Linked DNA regions of Macaca fascicularis. The protein of the gene in region 1 interacts with the protein of each later gene in a biochemical or structural test. Links are inferred from orthologs where the notes say so. Each region holds a gene or a part of one and is shown in the gene's direction. Other genes may lie near its edges. The genes, in order: CASK, SDC2, FCHSD2, CFTR, F11R, PRKN and ATP2B4.

What was found.
Region 2: the proteins of CASK (region 1) and SDC2 form a complex in vitro, tested with the Homo sapiens proteins (2 studies listed by BioGRID and IntAct, with this or other methods). The link is inferred for Macaca fascicularis from reciprocal best matches to the Homo sapiens genes CASK and SDC2.
Region 3: the proteins of CASK (region 1) and FCHSD2 form a complex in vitro, tested with the Homo sapiens proteins (2 studies listed by BioGRID and IntAct, with this or other methods). The link is inferred for Macaca fascicularis from reciprocal best matches to the Homo sapiens genes CASK and FCHSD2.
Region 4: the proteins of CASK (region 1) and CFTR interact in a test that uses a peptide from one of them, tested with the Homo sapiens proteins (2 studies listed by IntAct, with this or other methods). The link is inferred for Macaca fascicularis from reciprocal best matches to the Homo sapiens genes CASK and CFTR.
Region 5: the proteins of CASK (region 1) and F11R form a complex in vitro, tested with the Homo sapiens proteins (2 studies listed by BioGRID and IntAct, with this or other methods). The link is inferred for Macaca fascicularis from reciprocal best matches to the Homo sapiens genes CASK and F11R.
Region 6: the proteins of CASK (region 1) and PRKN form a complex in vitro, tested with the Homo sapiens proteins (2 studies listed by BioGRID and IntAct, with this or other methods). The link is inferred for Macaca fascicularis from reciprocal best matches to the Homo sapiens genes CASK and PRKN.
Region 7: the proteins of CASK (region 1) and ATP2B4 form a complex in vitro, tested with the Homo sapiens proteins (2 studies listed by BioGRID and IntAct, with this or other methods). The link is inferred for Macaca fascicularis from reciprocal best matches to the Homo sapiens genes CASK and ATP2B4.

The regions. Positions count from the first base shown.
Region 1 is NC_088395.1:41,941,292-41,945,522, reverse strand, and holds the start of CASK (peripheral plasma membrane protein CASK), read left to right. Parts: upstream 1-1,431; 5' UTR 1,432-1,929; coding exon 1,930-1,988; intron 1,989-4,231. UniProt on the Homo sapiens protein: Multidomain scaffolding Mg(2+)-independent protein kinase that catalyzes the phosphotransfer from ATP to proteins such as NRXN1, and plays a role in synaptic transmembrane protein anchoring and ion channel trafficking.
Region 2 is NC_088382.1:106,270,548-106,274,047, forward strand, and holds part of SDC2 (syndecan-2), read left to right. Parts: intron 1-276; coding exon 277-410; intron 411-3,500. UniProt on the Homo sapiens protein: Cell surface proteoglycan which regulates dendritic arbor morphogenesis.
Region 3 is NC_088388.1:71,646,070-71,649,569, reverse strand, and holds part of FCHSD2 (F-BAR and double SH3 domains protein 2), read left to right. Parts: intron 1-2,962; coding exon 2,963-3,046; intron 3,047-3,168; coding exon 3,169-3,346; intron 3,347-3,500. UniProt on the Homo sapiens protein: Adapter protein that plays a role in endocytosis via clathrin-coated pits. Contributes to the internalization of cell surface receptors, such as integrin ITGB1 and transferrin receptor.
Region 4 is NC_088377.1:158,928,661-158,932,634, forward strand, and holds the start of CFTR (cystic fibrosis transmembrane conductance regulator), read left to right. Parts: upstream 1-1,174; 5' UTR 1,175-1,394; intron 1,395-1,724; exon of another isoform or gene 1,725-1,746; 5' UTR 1,747-1,795; coding exon 1,796-1,848; intron 1,849-3,974. UniProt on the Homo sapiens protein: Epithelial ion channel that plays an important role in the regulation of epithelial ion and water transport and fluid homeostasis. Mediates the transport of chloride ions across the cell membrane.
Region 5 is NC_088375.1:100,036,717-100,040,831, forward strand, and holds the start of F11R (junctional adhesion molecule A), read left to right. Parts: upstream 1-1,315; 5' UTR 1,316-1,324; coding exon of another isoform or gene 1,325-1,400; intron 1,401-1,606; coding exon of another isoform or gene 1,607-1,729; intron 1,730-2,202; coding exon of another isoform or gene 2,203-2,365; intron 2,366-2,451; coding exon of another isoform or gene 2,452-2,503; exon of another isoform or gene 2,504-2,647; intron 2,648-4,115. Other genes in the region: USF1 (upstream stimulatory factor 1), read left to right, coding at 1-76, 267-356; TSTD1 (thiosulfate:glutathione sulfurtransferase), read left to right, coding at 1,325-1,400, 1,607-1,729, 2,203-2,365, 2,452-2,503. UniProt on the Homo sapiens protein: Seems to play a role in epithelial tight junction formation. Appears early in primordial forms of cell junctions and recruits PARD3.
Region 6 is NC_088378.1:8,862,521-8,866,020, forward strand, and holds part of PRKN (E3 ubiquitin-protein ligase parkin), read left to right. Parts: intron 1-2,139; coding exon 2,140-2,380; intron 2,381-3,500. UniProt on the Homo sapiens protein: Functions within a multiprotein E3 ubiquitin ligase complex, catalyzing the covalent attachment of ubiquitin moieties onto substrate proteins. Substrates include SYT11 and VDAC1.
Region 7 is NC_088375.1:61,454,026-61,458,169, forward strand, and holds the start of ATP2B4 (plasma membrane calcium-transporting ATPase 4), read left to right. Parts: upstream 1-1,344; 5' UTR 1,345-1,768; intron 1,769-2,471; exon of another isoform or gene 2,472-2,616; intron 2,617-4,144. UniProt on the Homo sapiens protein: Calcium/calmodulin-regulated and magnesium-dependent enzyme that catalyzes the hydrolysis of ATP coupled with the transport of calcium out of the cell. By regulating sperm cell calcium homeostasis, may play a role in sperm motility.

The DNA.
Region 1 (4,231 bases):
TGCTTTTTTTTTTTTTTTTTTTTTTTTTTTTTTTTTTTTTTAAAGGTTTAGTACCCAAATCCTTAGCAGGCAAATCTCTCAGCCTTTTGAGGGAGTGGTCAAGGGTTTGCACGAAACGTTTCTGAAGAGAAAATAGGCTGTGAGTCTCCACATCACCCCCTCCACTTTGGTATTAATAAATACTTTTTTAAAAAAATTACCACACTGAGAAATTTACCATACGATTTCTGGAAACTGACTTATGAACTAATTGGGCACTTTTGCTATGCGGAGGAACAAAGACTCTATTGGTCTTCAACTGAGGCATATACCTGTCTGATGGCGTTGGCTCATTCCGCACATGCTCAGTTGAACAGAAATCTTCATATTGAATGCAACCTAGCACAGCGGCAACACCCAGAACCTCACTCCCTGGCTGCTCCTGTGCCTGCACTGCCTCTAGTTGCATTTTGTTCCTGACAAGTCTAACATGTATAGGGAGTATACAGAGCAGAGTAGGTGCTGGGAGTTTGAGGGCAATATACAAAGGAGCTTAAAGTCGCGGTTTGTCCCTGTCTTCCTGGCTTCTCTCTAGGTTGGTCTCTAGTGAGGGTAGGCGCTGGATAGGTATTTGTTGAGTTTGGGGCAGAACGTGGGAGAAGCTGTCTCTATAGATGACCGTTTGCTGTCGCACACCTTCCTAGGCAGTTTTTGTTTAGTCCTTTTCTCGGACGACCTCCCCTTGCCCCCAGCCCTCATCTTCATTAAGGAATGACAGGGTAGCACTAAAAGCATCCGCTGCCAAGCACGGATTCAGTGACAACCTCTCTCCACCTCTCTTTTAGCTTTCTCATTCATTAGCACCCTATCCCTGCCTCTTTTCCCAGCAAAAAGCTGGGAAAGGCTCCCTGCGATTACAAAAGAAGGAAAGGGGAGCGGCCAGAGTTTCGAGCCTCTTGCGGGACAACGAGCGTACAGCCGTGGACCTTTTGTCTCCAGCCCCTTTCGCGGCTTGGTCGCCGCTAGGCGCGGAGGCGACGACCCCAACCAGCCCCGCCTCGGCAGCTGCAGCCGGCGCGCCCCGCTCAACCCCCCGCGCCCTCTAGAATCCCGGTGCCCGCCCGTTTGCCGTGACGCGGCCCGCGCCGCGCGCATGCGCCGCTCAGCCCGCTCCCCTTACCCTGGGCCACCGCCTCCCGACGGGCTAGAGTGGGCGGAGTCTGTGGTTCTGGAAGCCGCGCCGCCGACGGGGGAGGAGGGCGTGTCTGCGCGAGGCGGGTGCGCGGGGCTGGCTAGCCGGTCGGCTGCTGAGGCGGAGGGGCGGAGCAGAAGGCGGCGGCCGCGGCTCCCGCCCGCACAGAGCGCCAGTCCCGCGAAGCCCCCTCCCACTCCCGGGCGGGCGGTGGCGGCTGCGGGAGGAGGAGAAGTAGGAGGGAGCGTCTCTGCCACCGCCTCCTGGTCCCCAGCGCCGATCCGCCGCCGCCACCTCCCTCCGCGGCGATCCTCCCTCCATGGTCCTGCCGCGGCCCCCTCTATAGCCCGAGCTGCTCCGCGACGCGACGGAGCCGGCCTCGGACAGAGGGAGCGGTCGCGGCCTCGCGGCCCGCGCGGGCTGACTAGCGGAGAGCGCGACGCCGCGCGGTCCCCGAGGATCCGCACGCCGGGCAGCGCGGCCCGAGCAGCGCGAGGAGCAGCGGGCGGGCGGGCGGCGCCGGGCCCGGGCCGCCCTCGCTCCCACGCCCCGGCCCCGCCGCCCGCGCCGGGGCGGTCGCCTGCAGAGGAAGGCGCCGCAGTCTCTGGGCCTCGCGGCACCACTCGAGCGTCCTCGGCACCGAGGGCTCGCGGGTCCTGAGGGGAGGAGGCGATCCCGGGGCTGGGCACTGAGCTCTTGGGCGCCCCCACCCCCGTTTTCGAAGCCCTCCACGCTGCGGCCGCTATCCCCTCCGGACCATGGCCGACGACGACGTGCTGTTCGAGGATGTGTACGAGCTGTGCGAGGTGATCGGAAAGTGAGTCTCCACGCGAGGGAGCGGGAGTGTGGAAAAATGCATTTCAGTGATGCCCCGGTCTTCCCGCACCCGCTCCGGGCCTGCCCCCTGCCCTCTCTCCTTCCCCTCTTCCCCTCTTCCCCTCTCGTCCTTCTCATCTTGGAGTATTTATAGACGTGTACCTGGAGCTCCTGCCAGGCGGGGGCCTGGGGGTTCTCAGCGGTCCATTGAGGCCACCGAGCCGAGGCTGGCCACCCCGTAAGGCGTGGGGCCGGCTGCCTGCATTTTATCTGACGGTTGCACAGGGACGTGGCACAGCCGATTTTATAGTTGCTTCAGTTGGGGTTTTTGTTACCTTGCATGTGCCATAGACCATTTTTGAAAAGAGCAGCTTGCATTTCCTTTGCTTGTGTGGTAAGAGAGAGAGAGTGAGTCCAGGGTTTTAATTGTGGGGTGTGTGTCTATTGTGCGGGATATTAGACAGATGCCTTTGTGTACACCCCATGCCCGGATTGGAGGGGATCATTTAAGACCGGGTGCGTTCAGTTTCAGCACATTCCCTCCTGGTGTACATGAACGTGGAAAGAGTTGGGGGCATTCGAATTTTTAATGCTTCGTTATGCAATGACTGTTCAATCAGTGCTCGAGGCTCCCCTCGACTGTTGTTGGGATGGTGGTTAGCGTGGTAGAGCCGTCTGCTTTGAGTCACCGGGCTGGTCTAGAATATAGAACTGACAGTCCAAATGCTCATCCTTTCATCTGTGTTGTATAATTACGCTGGGGAAAAGCAGGGAATCAGATTAATCACAGTGCTGATTGAGAATTAAATCTGCAGTTCCTCATCTAATTGTCCATTCCTTAAATCTATTTTGAATAGTTTCCTTTTCATTCTTGTCAAACAGTATTCCAAGTGCACAATCCTGCTAATTTGCTTGTGAAGGAAATGCTGGCAATCTGAAGTTGATTTCCTAACACGGCGTGTATTCTGTGGCTTTAGAAGTTGAGGAGATAAGATTTAAGAGCAAATTTTTGCTTAATAAGGATCGCTAGAGCTACCATTGAAATATCTTACCTCTTTTTTTTTTTTTTTTTTTTTTTTTTTTTGGAAGCGGTGCTTTATTGTCTATTTTAAGGTCCACAGTTGGGAAATGAAACCAAGACCTTAGAGCAGTTGGCCCTATCTCTTTTAAGTTGTCTGCAGTACACGATTTCAATTTGAGTGCTAATTTGTTTCCTTTTCTTTCCATATTGAGGTATTACAGTGTTGCCTCACATGGTGAAATTGTGGGTAGAGCTTGCTACACACTTTACTCAGACCCAATTGATATGAGGACATGTTACTCCTTGCCCTATTGTTACATGACCAGCCAGACTGTTAAAAGGAAAGTATCCAAATGTGTCCTGTTAAAGTGGTTGTGAAGTGTTCTAGAACAGCACTGTCCAAAAGATATATTATGAGCCACATTTGTAATTTAAAATTTTCTAGTAGCCACATTTAATAAAAATATACAGGTGCAATTAATTTTACTAAAATATTTTATTTAACCCTGTAGATCCAAACTTAACACTTAAACATGTAATCAGTATGAAAAAATATTAGTGAAGTATTTTACATCTTTTATGCTAAGTCTTTGAAATCCCAATGTGTATTTTACACTAACAGCACATCTCAATTCTGACACTAAGCTACATTTCTGATAAAAATCAGAAATACTTAATCTGTATTTAGGTTTCATAAAATGTGCATTTACAAAAGTAGATTCACATACCCAAGTTACCCAATATACATACCCAATATACATAAAAGTTTTCCAATAACTGAATCAAGTACGTTTTTCTAAATTTAAATTTTAATTAATTAAAATTAAATAAAATTCAAAATTCAGTTTCCCAGTCGGACCAGCCACGTTTCAGGTGCCTAGTAGCCACATGTGAATAGCACAGTTCTAGAGAGAAAAATGTATCAAAAATCTCCTTGGTTTCCTCATTCTTAGCAGCACCCAGTGAAGATAAATTAGGTGTTTCCCAAGAGCCTCCAAATGACCGTATGTGTGGGTGAATTACGTTTGTTGCATCTTAGTTATAGCTGATGTAAATGAACTAACAAAGTCATAATTGGAAAATGTGAGATTAAAATGTTAATTATATTGTGAAGATGGAAAATAGCCATCACTGAATCAGTTTTGGTAACCAGTTCTGATTCCTTAAGGTCTGGAAGGGCGATGATGTGATCTCTTTGGATATCAAAAAGAAATGGTCAGAAT
Region 2 (3,500 bases), on another chromosome or scaffold:
AGCAGGGAGAGAAGGAACATGCAAGTGAAAGAACTGCTGCTTGAGTGTTGAGGATAATCATATTAAGGAAAAACTTGCTAGGCTACCCACAGACACCTTTGAAATCACTTCTTCATCGTGGTGAAGACCACAGGAAGCTTTGTGCTGAAGTCTTAAGGAGCCAGCATTTTGAAAGAACGTGATTCTGTCAGTGTCAACCTCAGGCAATAGTGCCTGATAATGGAGACATCTGTGTCATATTCGCCATACTCAGTTCATCTTCACTTACTTTTCCAGGAGCTGATGAGGATGTAGAGAGTCCAGAGCTGACAACATCTCGACCACTTCCAAAGATACCGTTCACTAGTGCTGCTCCAAACGTGGAAACCACGACGCTGAATATACAGAACAAGATACCTGCTCAGACGAAGGTGTGTTCCATTTTCCATTGCATTGCATTAACAGGTTATTATAAATGCTCCACTTTACTGACTGTACACACAGTCCCTTTTTTATTATTTTCTTCTTTTTTGGAGCTGCCCATCATGAACTATGTACACAACAGTTCTTTTAAAAGGCCCCACTTAAAATTGTATAAGGACAAATGGTCTTAATGGTGGTGTTATAAATGGCTCTTCCTTACGCTTTTTGATCACTTTGGCATTTACCCACGTATGATTTCTGTCATCCTGGCTCAAATTATATACAACTATTTTTCACATGGCCCTCCTTCTTAAGGAACATCTGAAGCCCAGTTAAGAAGTAAAGCCCTGTTTCTTTGGTTTCCTGGTTTGTAGGTACGTAATTAGAAGACTCCAGGTCACATCTTGAGATGGTCCTAGTCTCACTAAGTCATTTCTCAGTCTTCTTAGGCCTGTCATCAGTAGTATGTAATCCTTGACCTCTCTCGATGTTGATGAACCTGGGTACATCTGTATATATTCATTTTGAGAGCTGACTTATTCAGAATAAGAACTTTGGCGTTAGACCTGAGTAAAGTGACCAGCTAATGAAAACTTGGAGCTTGTGATTTTGACCTTGTTAATATTGTAGTTAGCTGACCATCCACTAATAGGTAACCCACTGAAGTTAGAACATGCATATTAAAGTCTGGCAAAGACCTACGTTTCAAATCCTGGGTCCAGTCATGTTTCTTAGCTTCTGAACCCATTTCCTGTGGGCTGTGAAGAAGATGAAATGCGAGTGCAGGTAGCATGGCACCTGAGACATAGTCACCATTCTGTAAGCATTAACTGAATTTGGTGGAGCAGAAGAGACCAAGCCAGTTCACCAAATGAGCATGTGTAATAACTGTAGTGGTAGACTTCGCAGTCAGTGCAGGGGTAACAGACGGCTTATGAAAACTCAGAAGCACAAGCATCCCCTTTTGGAGCTCACCCATCTGTTGATTAGAAATGAGATGCTGCCAAGCTTTAGCAGCAGACAGGATATGGATATGGAAGGCTGTTTGATGAAGGTGGCGACAGGCCTTCCTTAGAGTAAGAATCATCCCCTCTTCAGGCAGGAATGCATGTGGGCTTTTCTTACCCTTGCCCCAGAGTACCTTTGTTCTTCCTCCTCTTCCTCCATCCTCCCAGTGCATGTGACTGGAATGGTGAATGACACAGCTGGACAGGTCTCCACAAATGTGGAACAGCCAGGAAGCCAGCCCTGTCCAAATTGAAGTACTCTCTGTAGGACCAAGAAGAGTCAATTACTGTTAGTGGTAGACTTCACAGGCCAGGCGGTAGGAAGGCAGGGAGAGAGCCCTATGAGAACTGAGAGCGACTCACCTGGCATATGCTGGATCCCTGCATAGAAGCTACTGTATCAATGTATAGTTGAGTGAATGAAACAAAAAAAGAAAGGGAGAAATGAAAAGTGTAGGTGCAGTTGGTGTTAGGATGACTGAATGCCTCAGAGTGTGTGTGGCACAGTTATCTGCTATCTACTAAATATGCATTTGGCTCTTACCACATTTTTATTTGACCACTTCTCTTGACTAAATCTGTTGAAGTCAGAGACAATTAGGACTCACTAGCTTGAGGGAAGACACTCTCCTGGGTGAGTTTTGGCTTGTAGTGATAGAGAGTTGTATCCTAAGCAAGACTTAATTTGACATAGAGTTCTGGTTTGTTAACAAGAATGAATTGACCACTAATTTAAGTTTTTAAAAATTGGTTTTAAGAAAGTAATTGCATCAGATCGAGATAAAAAATATAGAACTTTGGCAGGTGAACTTAAAAATTAAGGAGCCCAAACTATTTTAATACTTTTATATTCTTACTATCATTTGTGTTCTATGTAGTAATAATAAAAATTCATCCATTTATGGAAGATTTATTGAGTGCTATCATTATGTGTCGAACACTGTTCACAGCACTGATAATGATAATATTGATCATGAATAACATGAATAATGATGATTAAATTTTTCATTTTGGTCTTTATGTGGTACAGCCGAATTGAACATTGCCTCTAGGATACCATTAGTGTAGATTTTGCTTTTGAATCGGTCTCACAGTGGCATTAATGTCACTGTTACAGATATCCTCTCTAGTTTGTTATAAATTTAAGTGACTAAAATGCAAAAAAAGCCATCTCATTATTTGTTTGAGCAGAGCATCACTCATAAGCTTTTACTTCTGTTCCATTTCCATGGCATCCAAACAACCAGACATGGATGTGGCAGATCTTTACTTGGCCTCATTTAATCATCCCTGCTGCCTTTTTGCAGATTGATTTTGCACATATATTCATACAAGAGTTAAGGTATTTCAGATTAGTTCCATATTACAAAATGGTTTCTTCTTAGTCAAGCCTCTGCCTCTATACGATAAAACATTTCGACTTGAAAAATGAATTTTCCACCCAGAGCTGCTTGAGGCTTGTGCACTTCCAGCTGCAGGGCGGCTCCAGTTATGTGGAGTCCTTCAGTCCCCATACTCTCAGATCCCTGGATTGCACGCTTTGTTCAGCCTGCCGGATCAGAAGCTGAGTCAGAGGAAACTGAAAAGATCAACTCTCTTAAATGACTTTAGGGACCCAAAAATCCCATGGTGAAACCATATGATTTGTAATAACAATGGAACAAAGATGATGTGGATATGGATAAATTAAACTCAGTCTCTCATATTACAGTGACTGCTTATGTCCATTTCATTTCTCACCAGAACTTGTTTACCTCTCTCCTTAGTCACAAACCTGAGTATTCACCTATTTGATATTTCTCTTCCCTTTTCTAACCTGTGATAGTAAAGCAGTACTAATGAGCAGTGAAAAGGTTTCTAGACTAGAACCCAGATAATCCATTCTCTGATCTGTTGTCCGTCCTTCCACCAGGCAGCCAATTAATGATGGGCTTTTCATGAGAAGAATAGAAAAAAATCAGGAAAAATACTGCCAATGTGCTGCTCTCTTCTGCTTTACTTTGGTACCCGAAGGCCTGGGAAGGCCTATCATAATTTTCTTCTCTCATAGTAATAGAGAGGACCGTGACCTTTTCAGTGCATATTGTGCAC
Region 3 (3,500 bases), on another chromosome or scaffold:
CCTGTAATCCCAGCACTTTGGGAGGCCAGGGTGGGCGGATCGCAAGGTCAGGAGTTCGAGACCAGCCTGACCAACATGGTGAAACCCCATCTCTACTAAAAATACAAAAAATTAGCCAGGCATGGTAGCATTCACCTGTATTCCCAGCTACTTGGGAGGCTGAGGCAGGAGAATTGCTTGAACCCAGGAGGAGGTTGCAGTGAGCCGAGATGGCACCACTGCACTCCAGCCTGGGCAAACTGTGAGACTCTGTCTCAAAAAAAAAAAAAAAAAAAGAACAAAAGGAGGAGCAGCTTACTCATCATGAGTAGTCTGGGAAAACATATGCGCTCAGTCTCAAATCCAAAGTAATCATAACTACTATCTATCTATCTATTTATTTGTAATCCCTTCAGTAACCCTATGAGGAAGATATTATCAAGCACCCCATTCATTCAAGAAACAGTGCTTGAGCACTTTCCGTGTATCAGTGCTGTGGGCTTTTCTAGGCTCTGGGATATAGCATTGATCAAAATAGACAAAAATCTCTGCCCTCATGGAGCTTATATTCTAATAGAAAAAAAGAAAACTGAAGTTCAAAGGTATCTTACAGTCACTTGCCCATAAAAACATACTGAAGCCGGACTTAAACCCACAGTAATCTGAGTCTGCTCATCAGATAGGAAAGAGGGAACAGAGCCTGCTGGATGGAAGAACACTTGATAAAAGCACAGAGGCAAGGAAGAACATGATATGCTCAGAGAATAGGAATAGTGTGCAGGGGCCAAAGTGTCTAGAGGCCCACTTTGGCCCACAGGGACCAAACTGCAGGGTCGTGATTGCCACACAAAGAACTTCCACCTTGTTAGGTGGAAGAATTGGTCATCACTGCTTTAGGATGGGATGATCAAGCTAGTGTCTGCTTACATTGGACAACTAGTGCTGCAGTGTTGAAAAACTTGCACGGACCTCCATGGCTTTTTTTTTTTTTTTTTTTTTTTTTTTTTTTTGAGACAGGGTCTTGCTCTGTTGCCCAGGCTAGAGTGCAGTGGTGTGATCTTGGCTCACTGCAACCTCTGCCTCCCTGATTCAAGTGATCCTCCCACCTCAGCCTCCCAAATAGCTGGGATTACAGGTGCGTGCCACAACACCCACCTAGTTTTTTGTATTTTTCATAGAGACAGCGTTTTTCCATGTTGCCCAGGCCGGTCTCAAACTCCTGGCCTCAAGTGATCCACCCACCTTGGCCTCCCAAAGTGCTGGGATTACAGGCGTGAGCCACCTCACTCAGCCTCTCCATAGGTTTTTATAAGGGCAGCAGTTTATTTGAAAGTGTACTACCTCCCTGGTTTGCTATCACATACATTAACGTCTGGTTGTGTTGATACTTTCTAGGTCTTGCCATGGAAAACATTTTTATTACAAAAGTGCCTTTTGCTGGCATATCCAAGGCATAGTGTAGTTTCAGAGTAGTGAAGGAATTCCATTGGAAAAGCTATCAAGGGTAAATGAGTGGGGTTTTTTCCTTATGTTTTGAGATAAGAGTTAATTTAAAATCTGGCCTTCGAGTATTCTGTGACTGGTCAGCCATCCTCAATATAATTTTTCTGTCTCAGGGAGCTATGGCAACATCCAGAATCTGGATTTTGATGAAATGTTTTAATGTTCATAAAATGGGAAATTGATCTTGAAAATGACCCCCTTTTTTGCCTTATTTTTGTGTAACTTGGAGTTAATTTTACACTTTGAGATTTTGAGATTTTAAAAACTTTATGGTTTTAAGTGATGGTTCTAACCCATCTTGGGACTTGAGAAAAGCTTTTAAGACTGTTTTCTAGAGAGCCAGAAGACAGCAGGCCCCTGCCTATTACACGTGACAGGCAAGGCTGTTAGGAAGCAAAGCCACATGGACTTTCCAGCCCCTCTGTGGAGCCTCAGAGCATTTACAGATTTGGCAGTCTCAAGGGCAACATGTGGATGGCTGATGCTGGTGGACTGCTATTGTCAGGGATAAAAAAGAAAACCATTATGGTTAGCAGCTTGTGCAGTAGCACGCAAGTGGATCAGCTCAGTCTCCACACCGTTAAGTTGGAACATAAGAAATCCAAACCATGACTGATCTCAATCATTTCCTTTCCTACAATTTTCTTCTTTTAGCCACTGCTTTACAGTGTTTCCAGATCAATCCTAGGCACTGCACCCACTGTCATCAAATTCATGTACATAGTTCTTTGCATTTTCACTGCATGCTTGTCCATGGGAGCCCTCTGGTAGCAGTTCCAACTCAGTGCCTTCTCCTTTGCTTTTGCTTCCCAAATCATCACACTTCTGTGCTTATTCATCCCACATTGACTCACATCCTCCAGAAAATGGCAGGATTGTCATTTCAAAGAAATGGAGGCATCAAGTTGAATAACTTGATACAGAAGCTGGAGTTGGAACCCAGGTCCTCTACTTCCAGGAAGTGCTCTCTTTTTTTGTTTGTTCGTTTTTTTAGAGACAGGGTCTCGCTCTGTTGCCCAGGCTGGAGTGCAGTGGCATGCTCATGGCTCACTGCAGCCTCAACCTCCCAGGCTCAAGCGATCCTCCCACCTCAGCCTCCCGAGTAGCTGTGACTACAGGCACATTCCACCATGTCTGACTAATTTTATTTATTTATTTATTTATTTATTTATTTATTTATTTATTTATTGGTAGAGATGGGGATCTTGCTGTGTTGCCCAGGCTCACATGTTCTGTTCATTGAACCTCATTGCCTCTTGAGGATTCAGTTTCTTCGGTTTTTGTTACGGTTTTATTCTGTTTAGTTTTTTAAAGTAAAACTTCACCTCATTATGAAAGTTTTACAGCATTTAAATTTTTATGTTCAACATGTTTCTCAATATCATTTCAATATTTTGATCCCCAGTTTTTGTCATGATCAGCCCACATCTGCTCCTTATCTAACCTTTTTAATTTTGTCCATGACCATCCTACATTGCAGGCTTCTCAACCAGATGAGTTGACCATTGAGGAACATGAGGTGTTAGAAGTGATTGAAGATGGAGATATGGAAGACTGGGTAAAGGTATATTCCTTTGCTCATATCGCCCCTTCTTGTGACATTTTTAGGAGTTCGTTTTGGTCTTTGTTGTACCCTGTCTAAATTGTGTGTGTGTAAACTTGTTTTGTCACATGTCTTTTACCCAGGCTCGAAATAAAGTTGGCCAAGTGGGTTATGTGCCAGAAAAGTACCTACAGTTTCCCACCTCAAACAGCCTCCTGAGCATGCTGCAGTCCCTGGCCACTTTGGACAGTCGGTCACACACGTCCAGCAATTCCACGGAAGCAGAACTCGTTTCAGGCAGCCTCAACGGAGATGCCAGTGGTAAAGACTGAAACAAGGCACTCTTTATTTGGTCACATTTGACCTAAACTGTATTGCCCTGGAGTAAGCCTTCACTAGGATAAAAAGCACAACTTTCCCCCTGTCCTATAATATGCTCTTCTTTATATGGTCACATTTGTCCTGCACAGTAGAA
Region 4 (3,974 bases), on another chromosome or scaffold:
TGGGGAAGTGGATGGAGTGAGTTCAGTCACATGTCTGGGAAAAGTCAATAGTGAAGACAGTCTCAATTTTTGTCATACTGGAGAGTGAAAACACAGGTAGAGGATTTCAAACAACAGGGTGGATGGTGAGTTAAAAGTGCTAAAGTTCTTTCCTGGTGTCTAACTTAATGCAATGTGGTTTATCTCTTTGCCCTTTTCTCTACTATTCAAATTTAGGATAATAAAGATTAAATGTTTCTAAATCTTACTTTACAATATTCAAGAAAAAAGGTATGCTTTTGTCCACTGAAGTGCAAAGCAGAGCTATGAAAACCTGCTGAACACATTCTTTATTTTCAACACATGTTCTTGTCTTTCCATCATGAAATGCATGTTTTATTTGTACTGTAGTTGGGTGACCACAAGTTAACAATAAGATCATTCACAAGACCCTTGCCTTAGATGTGTTGACAATGAAGTAATCAGGCCAAAATTTTTACTTTCCTTTGAATTTTTCAATTCAAACACAATGTGTGCTTGCTTTTACACAATAGGGTTCAGGGATTAGAGGGTTGGCTCTTTAAATACCGTCAGAGACACAGGCAATCCTACACCAAGTGCTCAGAAGGAAGGCGCCTACGCCTGGGAATGTCCAGTTGCCCTTGGAGAGTTGAAGATGGCGTTTCTCTGAGTCAGGTCAAAGTTAACACATTACCTTCGCTTCAAAGACTGCTTGGATTCCTTTCGGTGGATTAGTCAAGATGTTTTGCTGACTGAGACTAGGAAATCTATAGGAGGGCGGGTTAGTTTACATTGTTGCTTGTCATTGTCGCTAAAACACTCCAAAGCCCTCCTTAAAAATGCACACTGGACTAAAAACGACAGACAAGGAACAAATCCTGGGCTGGTAATTAGGCGAAGCACTATCTCCTCTTACCTCCTTGTAGATTTTTTTTCCCCCTTTAAGTACGTGTCCTCAGATTTCTTTGTCATCCTTGGAGTTCACTCACCTAAGCCTGAAACTAATAAAGCTTGCTGCTTTTCTCCAACACGCAGAGGAAGCGCTAAGGTGAATGCATCAGACCCACACTGCCGCGGAACTTTTCGGCTCTCTAAGGCTGTATTTTGATACACGAAAGGCACATTTTCCTTCCCTTTTCAAAATGCACCTTGCAAACGTAACAGGAACCCAGCTAGGATCATCGGAAAAAGGAGGAAGAGGAGGAAGGCAGGCTCGGGGGAAGCTGGTGGCAGCGAGTGCTGGGTCTGGCGGACCCTGCCGCGAAGGACGGTCCAGGAGGCTCTCCGGGGAGCCAGTTCTGCCGGTGGCTTCTTCTGTCCTCCAGCGTTGCCAACCGCACCTAAAGAGCGGCCGCGACTGTCGCCCACCTGCGGGATGGGCCTGGTGCTGGGCGGTAAGGACACGGACCTGGAAGGAGCGCGCGCGAGGGAGGGAGGCTGGGAGTCAGAATCAGAAAAGGGAGGTGCGGGGCGGCGAGGGAGCGAAGGAGGAGAGGAGGAAGGAGCGGCCGGGGTGCTGCCGGGGGTGCGTAGTGGGTGGAGAAAGCCGCTAGAGCAAATTTGGGGCCGGACCAGGCAGCACTCGGCTTTTAACCTGGGCAGTGAAGGCGGGGGAAGGAGCAAAAGGAAGGGGTGGTGTGTGGAGTAGGGGTGGGTGGGGGGAGTTGGAAGCAAATGACATCACAGCAGGTCAGAGAAAAAGGGTTGAGCGGCAGGCACCCAGAGTAATAGGTCCTTTGGCATTAGGAGCTTGAGCCCAGTCGGCCCTAGCGGGGACCCCAGCGCCCGAGAGACCATGCAGAGGTCGCCTCTGGAAAAGGCCAACGTTGTCTCCAAACTTTTTTTCAGGTGAGAGGGTGGCCAACCGAGCTTTGGAAAGACACGTGCCCACGAAAGATTAGGGCGTGTGTATGGGCTGGATTTGGGGAAAAGAAATAAGCAGTTTTTAAAAAGATGCGCTATCATTCATTGTTTTGAAAGAAAATGTGGGTATTGTGGAATAAAACAGAAAGCGTTAAGAAGAGATTGAAGAATGAATTGAAGCTGATTGAATAGACAGCCACATCTACTTGCAACTGAAAAGTTAGAATCTCAAGACCCAAGTATGCTACTATGCAGTTATTTTATTTGATTTTTCTAAGAAACTAAAAAAACTTGTTAATAATAAATACTTAAGTGTGGTTTATTGGTTTTCCCCCTTCATGCCTTGGACACTTGATTATCTTCTTGGCACATACAGGTGCCATGCCTGCATATAGTAGGTGCTCAGAAAACATTTCTTGACTGAATTCTGCCAAAAAAATTTTTGGGGTAGGTAGAAAATATGTGCTTAAAATATTTATTGTTATGAGACTGGATAAATCTAGTATTTGTCACAAGTACATTGTTCTTTAAAAATTGAAAGCAAATTTGTTGAAATATTTATTTTGAAAAAAGTTAACTTTACAAGCTATAAATTTTAAAAGCCATAGAAATAGATACTGAAGTTATATCCAACTGACATTTAATAAATTGTATTCCTAGCCTAATGTGATGAGCCATAGAAGCTTGCAAACTTTGAGCCATAGAAGCTTGCAAACTTTATCTAATGAGATTTTGAAAAACAGCGTCTAAGTTCGGAATCTTAGGCAAAGTGTTATTAGATGTAGCACTTCATATTTGAAGTGTTCTTTGGATATTGCATCTACTTTGTTCCTGTTATACCTGTGTGAATGAATGAGTAGGTACTTCTCTCTCGTGGGATATTACTTGACTCATAATTACCCAATGAATAAGCATACTGAGGTATCAAAAAAGTGAAATATGTTATAAATAGCTCATATAAGTGTGTAGGGGGGAAGAGATTTAGCTTTCACATTTCTGTTATGTTTAGTTCTCTGCATGTGCAGCTAATCCTGGAACTCCGGTGCTAAGGAGAGACTGTGGCCCTTGAAGGAGAGCTCCTCCCGGTGGATGAGAGAGAAGGACTTTACTCTTTGGAATTACCTTTTTGTATTGATGTTATAGCACCTTTTGTTACTTCTTCCATAAAATCGGCTTATCTATTGATCTGTTTTCCTACTTCTTATAAAATCAGAATGTTAATTGGCATAAATTATAGACCTTTTTAGCAGAGAACTTTGAGGAAGCTAAATGCCAATCAGTCTAAAAATGCAGTTTTCAGAAGAATTAATATTCCATGGATAGTTCTAAATACTAATGAACTTTAAAATAGCTTACTATTGATCTGTCAAAGTGGGTTTTTATATAATTTTCTTTTTACAAATCACCTGACACATTTAATATAGGTTAAAAAATGCTATCAGGCTGGTTTGCAAAGAAAATGTATTACAAAGGCTACTAAGTGTGTTAAGAGCATACTCATTTCTGTTCTCCAAAATACTTCATAAGTTGCTCCAAGAATAGGTATGTTTTTAAAAGTTAAGTTCCTACTATTTATAGGAACTGACAATCACCTAAAATACCAATGATTACAAACTTCCTTCTGGCCTTCTGGACTGCAATTCTTGTAAAAAACATATTTTTTGCATTAAGTTAGGCAGTATTGCTTAGTTTTCAAAAGTGGTAGATTTTGGAGTCAGATTATTTCGATTCAGATCCTACATCTACTGTTTAGTAGCTGTGTTGCCTGAGGCAGGTCCCTTAACATCTCTGTGTGTGACTTGACCTTTAAAATTTGGAGACTGTCATAGGGGTTAATCCCTTGAGAAAATGAATGTGAAGGGTTAGCCCAATGTTAACTGCTATTATTATGGATTACCATATTTTTACATTCATTACAGTACATGTACCTTGTTAATATAAGATGTTCAATTCATCTTTGAGTATAATTTTGTGACTCTTAATCTGGATATGCAATGAGTGGGCCTGGATGAGAATTTAATTTATGAAAAATTGTGTTTCACATGGCCTTACCAGATATACAGGAAACACATCATATGTTTCTATCATAGGTTGTTAAATGCCTTAGAATT
Region 5 (4,115 bases), on another chromosome or scaffold:
GAGTAACCACCGCTTGTCTGAAGAACTGCAGGGGCTTGACCAACTGCAGCTGGACAATGACGTGCTTCGACAACAGGTCAGACTCCTACCCCCAGTGCAGCCCTTCTCAGCTCTGCTAGCCACTGACCCAGTTTGACACCCTCTACTTTGTTCTCCATGGAGAGGGCTTCATCTTTTCCCCTTACCAGTGGATGTCTGAATACATTCAGGGGCTTGGTAGTGCCAACTTTACTACCCATTCCTTTACTGCCTCCTTCCCTTGTCAGGTGGAAGATCTTAAAAACAAGAATCTGCTGCTTCGAGCTCAGTTGCGGCACCACGGATTAGAGGTCGTCATCAAGAATGACAGCAACTAACTATGGGGATTCAGGGGCTTTGGGCCCAAGAACTGCAGATAGCCCAGGAGCAACAGCCTAATCCTGTGCCCCTTTCCTTCACTGCCCACTTCTGGCATGGGACAGGGGGAAGTTCAGAAGGTGTGTCCTTGAACTGAGGCCCTGTGATATGGCAGCCTGCAGTGGTGTGAAACACACAATGTGGAGGTGCACTGACAGCCTTGCCCACCCCCACCATGCAACCCCTGGGCCCTTGTGCTCCTCTTGCACAATGCATGTGCTGCCTCCATGCTGGATACTGGACACACTAAACTGGGGGGCTTGTCCTGTACTTGCTTAGAGTGCCCAGCAGAGGTCTGCTGACAGGTGATGCTCTGGCTTGCCCCAGGACTCTGGCACTTCCATTGGTTCTTCCTTTCCCTGGAGCTGAGGTTTAGAGGTGCACCCTGTGGCTCAGGGGAGCAAGCTTACACAAGAAGTGGGGGAAGGGTGTTTAGCAGTGGCTGGTGCCCATGAAGAGGAGATTGGCCAGCGAGAAGCTGAGGCCTATGCAGACGTCTCTGAAGCCAGAGAGAACAACAGGCAGGGGTCCACTTGGGGCCTTCCCCCTTATGGGGGTCTTTTTTTTTTTTTTTCTTTCCTTTTCCTTTTTTTTTTTTTTTTTTTTTTTTTTAGGATAAAATTGTTCAAAGCCACAGTTGTCTGTTTTTCTTCCTTTTGTGGGGCCACAGGCTGGAAGGGAGGGGCATTGCTCTTTGACCAGTAAGGGCTGTGCTAAGTTCAGGGTGGGGTGCTGCTCCTGCACTTATTACCCGGAGACCTGGTTCCTGGGCCAGACCGGTCTGTCGTTTTTGGCCCACGCTAGAGAATGTTAAGGGCTTCTGCAGTAGACTGGTGCTAGAGACGCCGTGAACAGGTGCTGCGGGGGCGGTGCGGGAGGCGGTGCCCTCGCTTCCGGATCCGGTCTCAGCTCCGGGAGCGAGTGGGAGATGCTGCAGGCTACGAGGGGGGGGGCCGGGGCCGCACTCCGGAGACTCGCAGTTGCTGCGCGCACCATGGCTGGAGGTACCTGCGGGGGATGCCTGGGACCGCGGTCCTCTTGGCCCCTTGAGTTGAGGTGTGGCAGGGGGTGGGGTGGGGGAGCGAAGGGGCGTGGTTGAGGGGTCTTGGTGCATACCCTACCAGGGAGGGGCGCTGCCAGGTGAGGGGATACCGTGGCGGCCATGACTCCTAGGCCCCTTCTCCTGAAGGCTGTCGCGCCCCTTCCTCAGCGCCCACGGTCTCGCTCCCTGAACTCCGTTCACTCCTAGCCTCCGGCCGGGCCCGACTCTTCGACGTGCGCTCTCGGGAGGAGGCGGCAGCTGGGACCATCCCAGGGGCGCTCAACATCCCGGGTAAAGGGTGGAGAGGGGACGCCCAGGTGGTGGAATAGAGCCGTTCAGGAGGGTCTTTGCCAGTGGGACCTCATTTAGGATGGAATGGGGAAGGCACTGATTATGGGGGTCCTGCATTCCCGGGAGCCAGCCTTCAGCTTCCTGGGAAGGACTGATAGGAGGCGGATCCTGGCATCGGAACTGGCCCATCCAGTTTGAGAAGACAGCAGGTGGAGAGGAGAGGGGCAGACCAGCTTCTCTTGACCTCCCCAAGTCTGGACGCCTGAGGGAGCATCCCGCCCCGCCTCCTCACAGCTTGGGGAGTGGCTCGCATTCAAAAGTCGTTGGTTTCTGGTTCTTGAAATTGGGGTGGGGGTAGGGGATGGCTATCATATGTTGTTTGGGGGCCCCCAGGACCCAGCCTTTCCAGGCCCAGCTTCCGAACCTGAGTGCCAAACTGCCGGCTTTCCCTTCTACCCTCTCCACTCCTCCAGTGTCCGAGTTGGAGAGTGCTCTGCAGATGGAGCCAGCTGCCTTCCAGGCTTTGTACTCTGCTGAGAAGCCAAAGCTGGAAGATGAGCATCTCGTTTTCTTCTGTCAGATGGGCAAGCGGGGCCTCCAGGCCATGCAACTGGCCCGGAGTCTTGGATACACTGGGTACGGGGAGGTATGGCTGCTAGCTGGGAGGTGATGGGGACTACCTGTCATTCCTGTCCGTCTCTCACCCTTCTTTATCTCCACAGGGCTCGCAACTATGCTGGGGCCTATAGAGAATGGTTGGAGAAAGAGGGTTAGGCAGGAGGCGGCTTACTGATTGCCACCCCCTGGCCCCTTAATGGCCATCTTAACTAAGGGTGTGAAGGGGCTGACTTGGTGAGTTGGGCAACTCCTTATAGTGTTGTGCACACAAAAGCATCAAATAAAGAACATTTAATCAAAGTATTGGAAGCACTTAATGTGTCAGGTGGACTGAAAACAGTTCTAATCTTTATCTAGACCTCAATTCAGTCCTGGATCATCATTTCTCAGCATTCATCTGCTTCCCCTAGCACTCCCCACATGCAAAATTCTAGCAGTTTCCTGAGAGGCTACAATGTACAGTACTTCTAGAATAGCTGTTTTCAACCCAGAATGCACATCAGAATCAGCAAGTTTTTTTTGTTTGTTTTATTTTTTAATTCAGAATATGGAGGGTGGAGCCGGAGCATTAGTGGCTTTATGGGCCCCTGGGGTGATTCTTATATGCAGCTAGAAGCAGGTACCACTGCTTTAGAGGTCAGCAAAGTATGGCCCCAACTGGCTGGCTGCTGTGAACTTTGGTTATTGTCTATGGCTGCTTTGTCCATGGATTAAGGAGGTGAAAGGGCAATCCCAGGCCTTTGGGTGAGGGAATGGATAGCACCCTTCATCCCTACCGATGTGTCATGCACAGATTACAGGCGTGAGGAGCCTTTCCTGTGCCACCAAAACCAGGTTTCGGTTTTTATCAACACTGATCTCTTATACTGGATTTAACAAATTTAATTGGTTGACCAGGCGCAGTGGCTAAGGCCTGTAATCCCAGCACTTTAGGAGGTCGAGGTGGCAGATCACCTGAGGTCAGGAGTTCAAGACCAGCCTGCCCAACATGGTGAAACCCCATCTCTACCAAAAATAAAAAAAGTGTCCGGGTGTGGTAGTGCACACCTGTAGTCTCAGCTACTTGGGAGGCTGAGGCAGGAGAATTGGCTGAACCCAGGAGGTGGAGGTTGCAGTGAGCCGAGATCATGCCACTGCACTCCAGCCTGGGTGACAGAGACAGACTCGGTCTCAAAAAAACCAAAATTTAATTGGTTAAAAAGATGAAATTATGCATGCTTACTGAAACAAAATTCAACACTACACAGTAGGTATATGACTTCCCTCTAATATAGTGTATAGTTTGATGCACAATACATTTTAAATATTTTTGTGGCAGAGTTTTTACCTCTTAAGTTTGATTTTTGGAAAATGTATTCCTTAATCTGTGGAAGAGAAGATTGAGTCAGAAATGAATCCAGGTTTCTGAGTTTTCATGCCTCTGAAGAACTTCTTTCACGCATTTCCTGTATTCCTTGCCTTTCTCTCACGTCCTTTTCTTCCCGTCTGCCTTCTCCACTATACCCAGCCCTCATTCATTCATTCATTCATTTTTGAGATGGAGTTTCGCTCTTGTAATCCATCCTGGGATTACAGGCATGCGCCACCATACCTAGCTAATTTTGTATTTTTAGTAGAGACGAGGTTTCACCATGTTGGTCAGGCTGGTCTTGAACTTAGGTGATCCGCCTGCCTCTGCCTCCCAAAGTACTGAGATTACAGGAGTGAGCCACTGCACCTGGCCCCTCCTACATCTTTTATCTCATAGTAGGCACTCTATACACAATGA
Region 6 (3,500 bases), on another chromosome or scaffold:
GTGCCTTGCCGATATCAAAGATTAGGTAGGTGAAATTCAAGATAGTGATTCTCTTGCAGCCCATTACAAAACATGGGAGGATAATGAGACTTTCAGGTGGAAGGGGAAGGCTCGAAGTGGGTGATGTGGGGGATGGTTTTTCCTGACAGAACCAGGGAAATCATGCAGGGGAGGACTTCAAGTCAGAGAATGATGAACAGTGGCCCCTGCTGAGTAGGAACAGTCCTGGGGAGAGGCTGGGAGCTCTGAGAATGGGGATCGGGAGGGGCACAGGGCCTGGGGATGAGATGGAGCCCCAGGGTGTGAGAGTAGAGAAGAGGTCTGAATGGGATTTAAGGACAAAGGGTGTCCTGGTGCCGTACTGGATGGAGGAGCCAGACTCCAGCCGTTGTATTTGTGGTCAGATTGTTGGTGAGTGCTGGGCATCACTGTTCGAGGGACATTGATGGTGAAGGCAACAGAAGAGCTTGAGAAAGCAGCAGGGGAGGGCATCATTTACTGCTGTTAGTTATGGATGCATTTCATTTGAGTGTCCTGGGAGCATTCCTAAAATGAGAATGGCAAGAGGTATTTGAAAGGCATTGATTCATTTTAATTTTTATTTTATTTTGCTTTATATTTTTTGAGATGGAGTCTTGCTCTGTTGCCCAGGCTGGAGTGCAGTGGCATGATCTCGGCTCGCTGCAACCTCCGCCTCCCAGGCTCAAGCAATTATGTTGCTTCAGCCTCCTAAGTAGCTGGGATTACAGGCCCATGCCACCAGAGCTGGCTAATTTTTTTGTATTTTTGGTAGAGACGAGGTTTCACCATGTTTCCCTGGCTGGTCACAAACTTCTGGCCTCAAGTGATCCGCCCACCTCAGCCTCCTGAAGTGCAGGGATTACAGGCGTCAGCCACTGTGCCCGGCCACATCGATTTGCTGAGAGAGTAAGGTCCTTGCTGTGTCTTAAGAGGGTAGCAAGCAGATCAGTAACTGCTTCTATGTAGTAGATATTCTTTTTTTTTTTTTTTTTTTGGTGGGGGGATGGGGGTGGGCATTCAAGTGATTCTCCTGCCTCAGCCTCCTAAGTAGCTGGGACTACAGGCACACAGCACCACGCCCGGCTAATGTATTTGCAGTAGAGACGGGATTTCACCACGTTGGTCAAGCTCTTCTCGAACTCCTGACCTCAGGCGATCCACTCACCTCGGCCTCTCAAAGTGCGGGATTAGAGGCCTGAGCCACCGCGGGCGGCCCTATGTAGTAGATATTCTGAAACTAGAATTCCATTTAGGGTAGCCTAGTTCTTGTCCTGGCAAATAATCTGACTTTTAATTTTTATGCTAGAAAATGTTAAAGTCTTCTTCTGTTCCTACGTGTCAATATATAGATGCAAAACCTTTTTGTAAATGTTTGCTGATTTTCATAGTTAAATCGACCGAGAGAGAATGAACCGTGGGTGGCAGGAGTGTGCTCCTGCCTTGCTTCCCCACTGGTGTAACGATGTGTGTTCTGGTGCCCGTGGAGGGGTGTGTGTGGAGTCTACTCAAACACATTCATTTCCAATGCTGTACGGAAATGCCCTCTAATTGATAATAACTTTCTGTACTTTTATAAAAAAGAAAAGAATGACATATCAATTCTGATGTCAATCAGTTTTATTATTTAAGAATATTTTTAGTAGCCAGGCGTGGTGGCACCCGCCTGTAATCCCAGCTACTCGGGAGGCTGAGGCAGAAGAATTGCTTGAACCCGGGAGGTGGAGGTTGCAATGAGCTGAGATGGCACCACTGCACTCCAGCCTGGATGACAGAGTGAGACTCCATCTCGGGGAAAAAATAAAAAAAGAATTATTGTTTTCACTGTGCTTATAGATCCACTTTGGTAATTTTTTTTTTCCTGGTAGATTTCATGTCCTTTTGAATATGACTTCAGCGTTCTGTTGTGTTTCACGTATCCCCAAATTTCTGTTTCTGGCCCCAGTTCAGTGTTGTTTGTCTACCATGTGTAGTGTGTAAGTGCTGTGGCCAAACATGTGCCTAAGCTGGTCAATTACATGTCACTTTCCCTTCCCTTCTAACACTGAGGACAAGTTAAACTCTATCTGGCATTTCATGTTTGCCATTTCCTTGTTTTTTTTCCACCTTGCTCCCAAACAGAACTGTGACCTGGATCAGCAGAGCATCGTTCACATTGTTCAGAGACCACGGAGAAAAGGTCAAGAAATGAATGCAACTGGAGGCGACAACGCCAGAAACACGGCGGGAGGCTGTGAGCGGGAGCCCCAGAGCTTGACTCGGGTGGACCTCAGCAGCTCAGTCCTCCCAGGAGACTCTGTGGGACTGGCTGTCATTCTGCACACTGACAGCAGGAATGACTCACCACCAGCTGGCAGTCCAGGTAATTGGAATGCCCTAAGAGTATTAGAGCATTCTGTTTGTTTGTTTAGTGCAGTCTCCATGGAGCATGGCCTCACCAGGTGCATATTTAGTGTCGATACGTTTTGGATTTGAGTCTGTAATTCACTCCAAGGAGACATCACTGTAGGTGGAGTACTTTGATGTAAAATTTGAGAATGCACTTATTATAAGTACTATGAAACAGGTTTTCACATTGAGATTAAATAGAAGAGATATGTTTCTAGTGATGTAGAAAAATTCTAAAAAGTAGAAAGATTTTGAAAGCTAATCGAGCCATTTGTAGTTTCTCAAGCCACATATTCCAATGGCAATGACATCCTTAGTGTGAAAGGATTCTTCCTTCTCTGTTCTACCACCCATTTCAAAATGCTTTTCTTTGGAAAAGATGGTTATTGTTTAGTTATTTTTAAAATATTAATATGTGTCTCTTAGTCTTTTATTCTCTAAATAGTCAAAGGTGTAATAGAATTAATTTTTACTGTGTCTGACAGAATACACAAAATAATCACAATGACTTTACAGGGTAGAAGTTGATTTTCCTCCCACATACAATAGATCCTGGCAGTTGTGGGCTGGTATGGCCTTCACAGTGTCAGAAAGTTCTGGGACCTGCAAGATGGAAGCCTGACGTAATAAGAAATGCCTCCCACTAAAATTACTAAATAAAATTTAAGGAATTAAAAATTTTCAATGAGCTTGCAAAAAATAAAAAAAAAGATAATTTTCAAGGACAAGTGAAAATGTAGAAGCAACATCTTTAAATACAGGAGTAGATAAACCCAGAAAGTAAGGCATTAGCTGATGCTCTGGTGATCTTGAGATGACTGTGGGAGGGAAAGAGGCTCTGCTTCATGTGAGCTGGGCACCTCAGGTCTGGAAAGAAAAACTGAGAAATGGAAACAAATGTCAAAAATGGGGAAAAATGAAATAAATCTAAACCCCTGCAATGCCCTTGTGATCCAGGATATGATAAATTAATATAAATATCAAACCCAAGCTCCTCACAATTCTGATGTTTCAACCAGAGTATGTAGAAGATCATTCTGACATTGACACCTCTAGAGAAAAACAAGCCCTACTAAAGGATACTCAGTGCTCCA
Region 7 (4,144 bases), on another chromosome or scaffold:
TGGGTCTAATTCACAACTCTGTTTCTCCATGTGCGTGTGGCTCTGCTTCTTGGGGGCAGGGATGACAGCAAAGAAGGACAGGGGTGGTGTGAGGTGTTGGGTTAGAATGATAGGATCAAAGAGGCCTTTTCCCAACCCTCTGTTTAAAAGGTTGGGAAGTAGTGGCCAGTCACCTTCTTCACAGCATAGCTCATAGCTATAACCTGTGAGATATATGTCAACACGCCTTCCACAAGCATATAAACATGAGTGTGTTTGCTGAGGTAGGTGTGGGAATCTGTCAGTCAATGAAGATATGTTGTTGTGTGAACTAGCTGATGGTGCATGTTTGTGCTTGAAAGCCATAAAGTTCTATGCAAAATCTATGGGTGGCACTGTTGCACAATGCTAGTGGGTGTGTGGGTATGGGGGTGTGATTAACAGTTTACAGGCTGTGTATAAGTGTGCAGGGATGTCTGAGTGTGTCCAAATTAAAACAGAAATGTGTGCCAGAGTATGATACAAGTACAGGAAAGTACTTGGGCTTTGGAGTCCGTCTGACTTGGCCTTGAATTGTTGGCTCTGTCATGAACCAGATGTATAACCTTGGGCCAGACACTCAATCTTCAATTTCCTCAGCTAGGAAATGAGGCTAATAACAAGTACCTTTCAAAATTGCCATAAGGACTAGAAATGATATCGTATAGACAAAGCTTTTGGTGTCATAGCCTACGCATAGCAGGACTCAAAAGTAGGCAGCTATTTTCATGCACTGTCAGTATACCTCTGGTGGGTACAGGGGCAAGAGGGAACAAAATGTGACCTGTATATAAGGTGTCGGGGAGGAGGTGTGTGTGTGTGTGTGTGTGTGTGTGTGTGTGTGTGTGTGTGTTTACAAAACAATTTATTCTCCTTCTCCAAGGAACCCCCTATTCAGACAGGAGCAGGAAGGTGGGAGGGGACATACAAGTGTCCACAGACACCTTGGGTTTCTGGGTCCTGGATCTAAGTGAGTAAGGGGTTGAGAGGCCCATGGGAGCTGCAGGAAGCCAACCGCCTGCCGAAGCTTCCTTTTTTTTCCCCTCCGCCCAGCAACCGTTGAATACCGCCACCCACATCCACTCCCCACCTCCACCCTCACCCCTCCTCCACCCCACTCAGCTTTCTATTCAACAAGTGAGAGCAAGGGTGGAGAAGAAAGCCGACAGGGGAGAGGATTCCTTCCCTTTCTTTCCCCATTCCCCCTTAAGACGAACCAGGAAGCAACCGCAGGAATCGGGCCACCTTAACAGTAGAGTAATGGTTTGGCCTCATGCCAAGTCCCACCTCTGTTCCAGCTCCTGCTCCTCCCCTCTCTCTTCCCGCACTGCTTGGGGAGAGCTGGTGAGCAGGAGTCTGGCCCGAGTTAGCTAGAGCTGTTGCCATGACAAGCATTTTCTTAAGAAAGCTCTGCTGTTGAGATTGTCCAACGCTGGGGGCTGGGAGGGGGGCACGAACTTCCTGGGCAACCATCCCTCTGAAGAGAGCAAGATCAGAGACACCCGTCCAGCTCTCCTGCACCCTTTTTCTTTCAGGAACCTGAGAGGTCCTTCCCATTGGAAGGGCAGGGGGAGGAGACCCAGCCCACTCCCCGGCCTTAGCCGGAAAGGCAAGAGAGCAAAGCCAGCGTCTCCAGCTTGGTTGCCACACTGGGGAGACTGGTGGGTGGTCACTCCACCCTACCCCCATCCATGGAAACCCGGAGGGAGAGTCCCACTTGGAGAAACCTGGATCTTTGCTAGAAAGAGAGGTAGGCTTGCAGAGAATGAATTGACTTGTGATTTGCAAACTTTGTTTCTTTCTTTTCTCTCAGTGGCTTCTAAAACTCCCCGATTTTCCTCTTTCTAGCATATTTCATGCGACTGGGTTTGGAGGATTTTTAAAAATATGTGTGTGTGCACAGATTTGTCAAATACTGTTTTCTGAGAAACTGTATAGTCAAATAAGTGATTTATCTCTCTTTTTTTAGTTCTTGTCATTCCTGTGCTATGGGGTAGGGGAATGGAGGGACTCTCTTTTTGACACCAAAATTGAACTCTTGGAAAAAACATTTATCTCCCCTCCCTCAACCCATTCCATTCCTGCCCTCCCCTTCCCCCTTGGCTTGGGAATGAGACGCAGGATGGAAAACTGTTGCAAAAATATTTTCCGTGTCTGTTCCCTTTCTCAAAAGCCCAAAAGAGAGATGGGAAAAAAAAAAAAAAAGGAACTAAAGAAATCTTCGGCAGGAAAGGGGGGCTGCAGCGGGAACTAGGAGAGGGGCACTTTGGGGCCATGGGGTAGAGGTGGGCTGGGAGAAGTTGGGAGGAGTGGGGGAAGGAGAGTGCACAAATTAAATTTCTTTAGCTTTGCAGAGAAACCTAAGCAGTTTCTCTGTGTTGCTTGCAAAACATCCTCAGACTTTCACATCTATAATTAGCTGTGGAAAAAGCTGGGAGTTCCCTCGTACCGCTGTTGTTTGAGAGTGTGTGAGCGTCCAGAACCAACTGTATGAGTGTCTCCGAGGGCACCGCCCCACACATCTCTGGTCCCAAAGGGGAGGAAGGAGAAGGGTGAATTGAAAAGTTTCCGATTTCAAGGCTGGAGACTGTGGGGCTGGTGAGTGTTTGGCAGACGGGGTGGGCCACAGGCATCTGTGGAAGGGTCCCTGAGCATCTTGGGTCATTTCCTTGGTTTGCTGAAGAGCTAGGAATTAAGAATGGGATTGTCCTTCCTGCTCTCCTTTCTCTCTTTCTCTTACGTACTTGGTTCGCTCTTGGTAGAGGGGGCTGCTGGCATCCTTCCCCGAGTCACGTCTGGCCTCATACACTCCTCCACCTCCCTGAGGGTACCCGCCGCTCTTCTCCAACTGGGTGTGGAGGGTGCAGGAGTGGCCAGCCACATCTTGGGAGGGGAGTGGGCACTCTGCTGGCCAGAGGCACCTCCCTCCTGGGCATTCCTGCCGGACTTACAATAACTTGCAGACATGATGCCGGCGCCTGCTGGCCGGGCAGGGGGAATGTCAGATGAAGCAATAGGCCGGCATTCAACTGAGGCCCCTGTGGGGAGGGGAAAGGAGTTGGGGAGGGAAGGGAAACAAAATCCCATTCTGTAGTGCTCCCTCCTCTGGGTGAGGAGTCTGGCAGGGAGTCTAGAGACCCTCGCCCTGCTCCTTAAGCCCCTCCCCAAGCTGCCCTTTCTCCAGGGCTTCTCATTGGAGGCCCTCCTGTGCCCCCTTCACTCTGGGCCCTCTACCTGGAGGAAGGAGACCAAGCTTATTCCAGGCTGGGCCAGGCCCAGGAAAGGAGCCTGGGGGTGAGGAGGGGCTGGGCCAGGAGCGTTTAGGAAGAAGGGGACGGAAAGAGGCCTCCTAGCCCATGAGCTGAGTTACCCTCCTTGGCTGAGGGTGGTGGCTTGGGGAGCAGACTCCGGGAGGGGCAGGAAGGATGGTGGCAGCTTGGTAAGCCGTGTTCTGGAAGGTGGGCCCTAAACCCTGAAGCAGACAGATCTGTGGGAATCAGGCTGGGGGAGAGGAAACACCTGCCTTCAGCCCCAGGGCTTGGAGGAGTGGTAAAGGCTACAGCTGAGAAACTGGGGGAGAAGGAAGCAAAACACTTAGAGGAGAGCTCATCTCGGGGCTGAGGAAGCAACAGGAACCGATTTTCATTTTGAGGTGTTAATTGATCTGACTGCACCCCATTGGCTAGACTCTTCCCTACCTGTATTCTGGTCGGTAAGGGAATGAGGCCTTCCCCAGTGGGCAGGGGCCCCAAGACAGAGAATCAATGCCGGTGTTCTGGAGGGAGGGGATCCATTTCTTTGCTCCTCCTCGGGAGTCCCATCCTCCCTGCCACCATCTTGCTGAGGTGCAACCCCGAAAATCACGCCGCTTCCGCCGCGGCCTCCCGTCGTGGGGGCCCAGAGTGTCACTATTCCTGCAGCCGGCCTTCCTATTTTCAGTAATCTGATTAGGGGTAGATGTTGACGGGCTCAGGGACTGTTTCTCCGTGAGGTCGTTATTTAGCGCGCACCGGGTTGCCTGCTCCCGCGGCTTTGAGCCTGGGGTCGCTGCCAAAGCGGGGAATCGGCTCCCGCAGTCTCAGCCCTTCCCCCGGGGCTCGGGGCGGGATCGACTGCGCAACCCCGC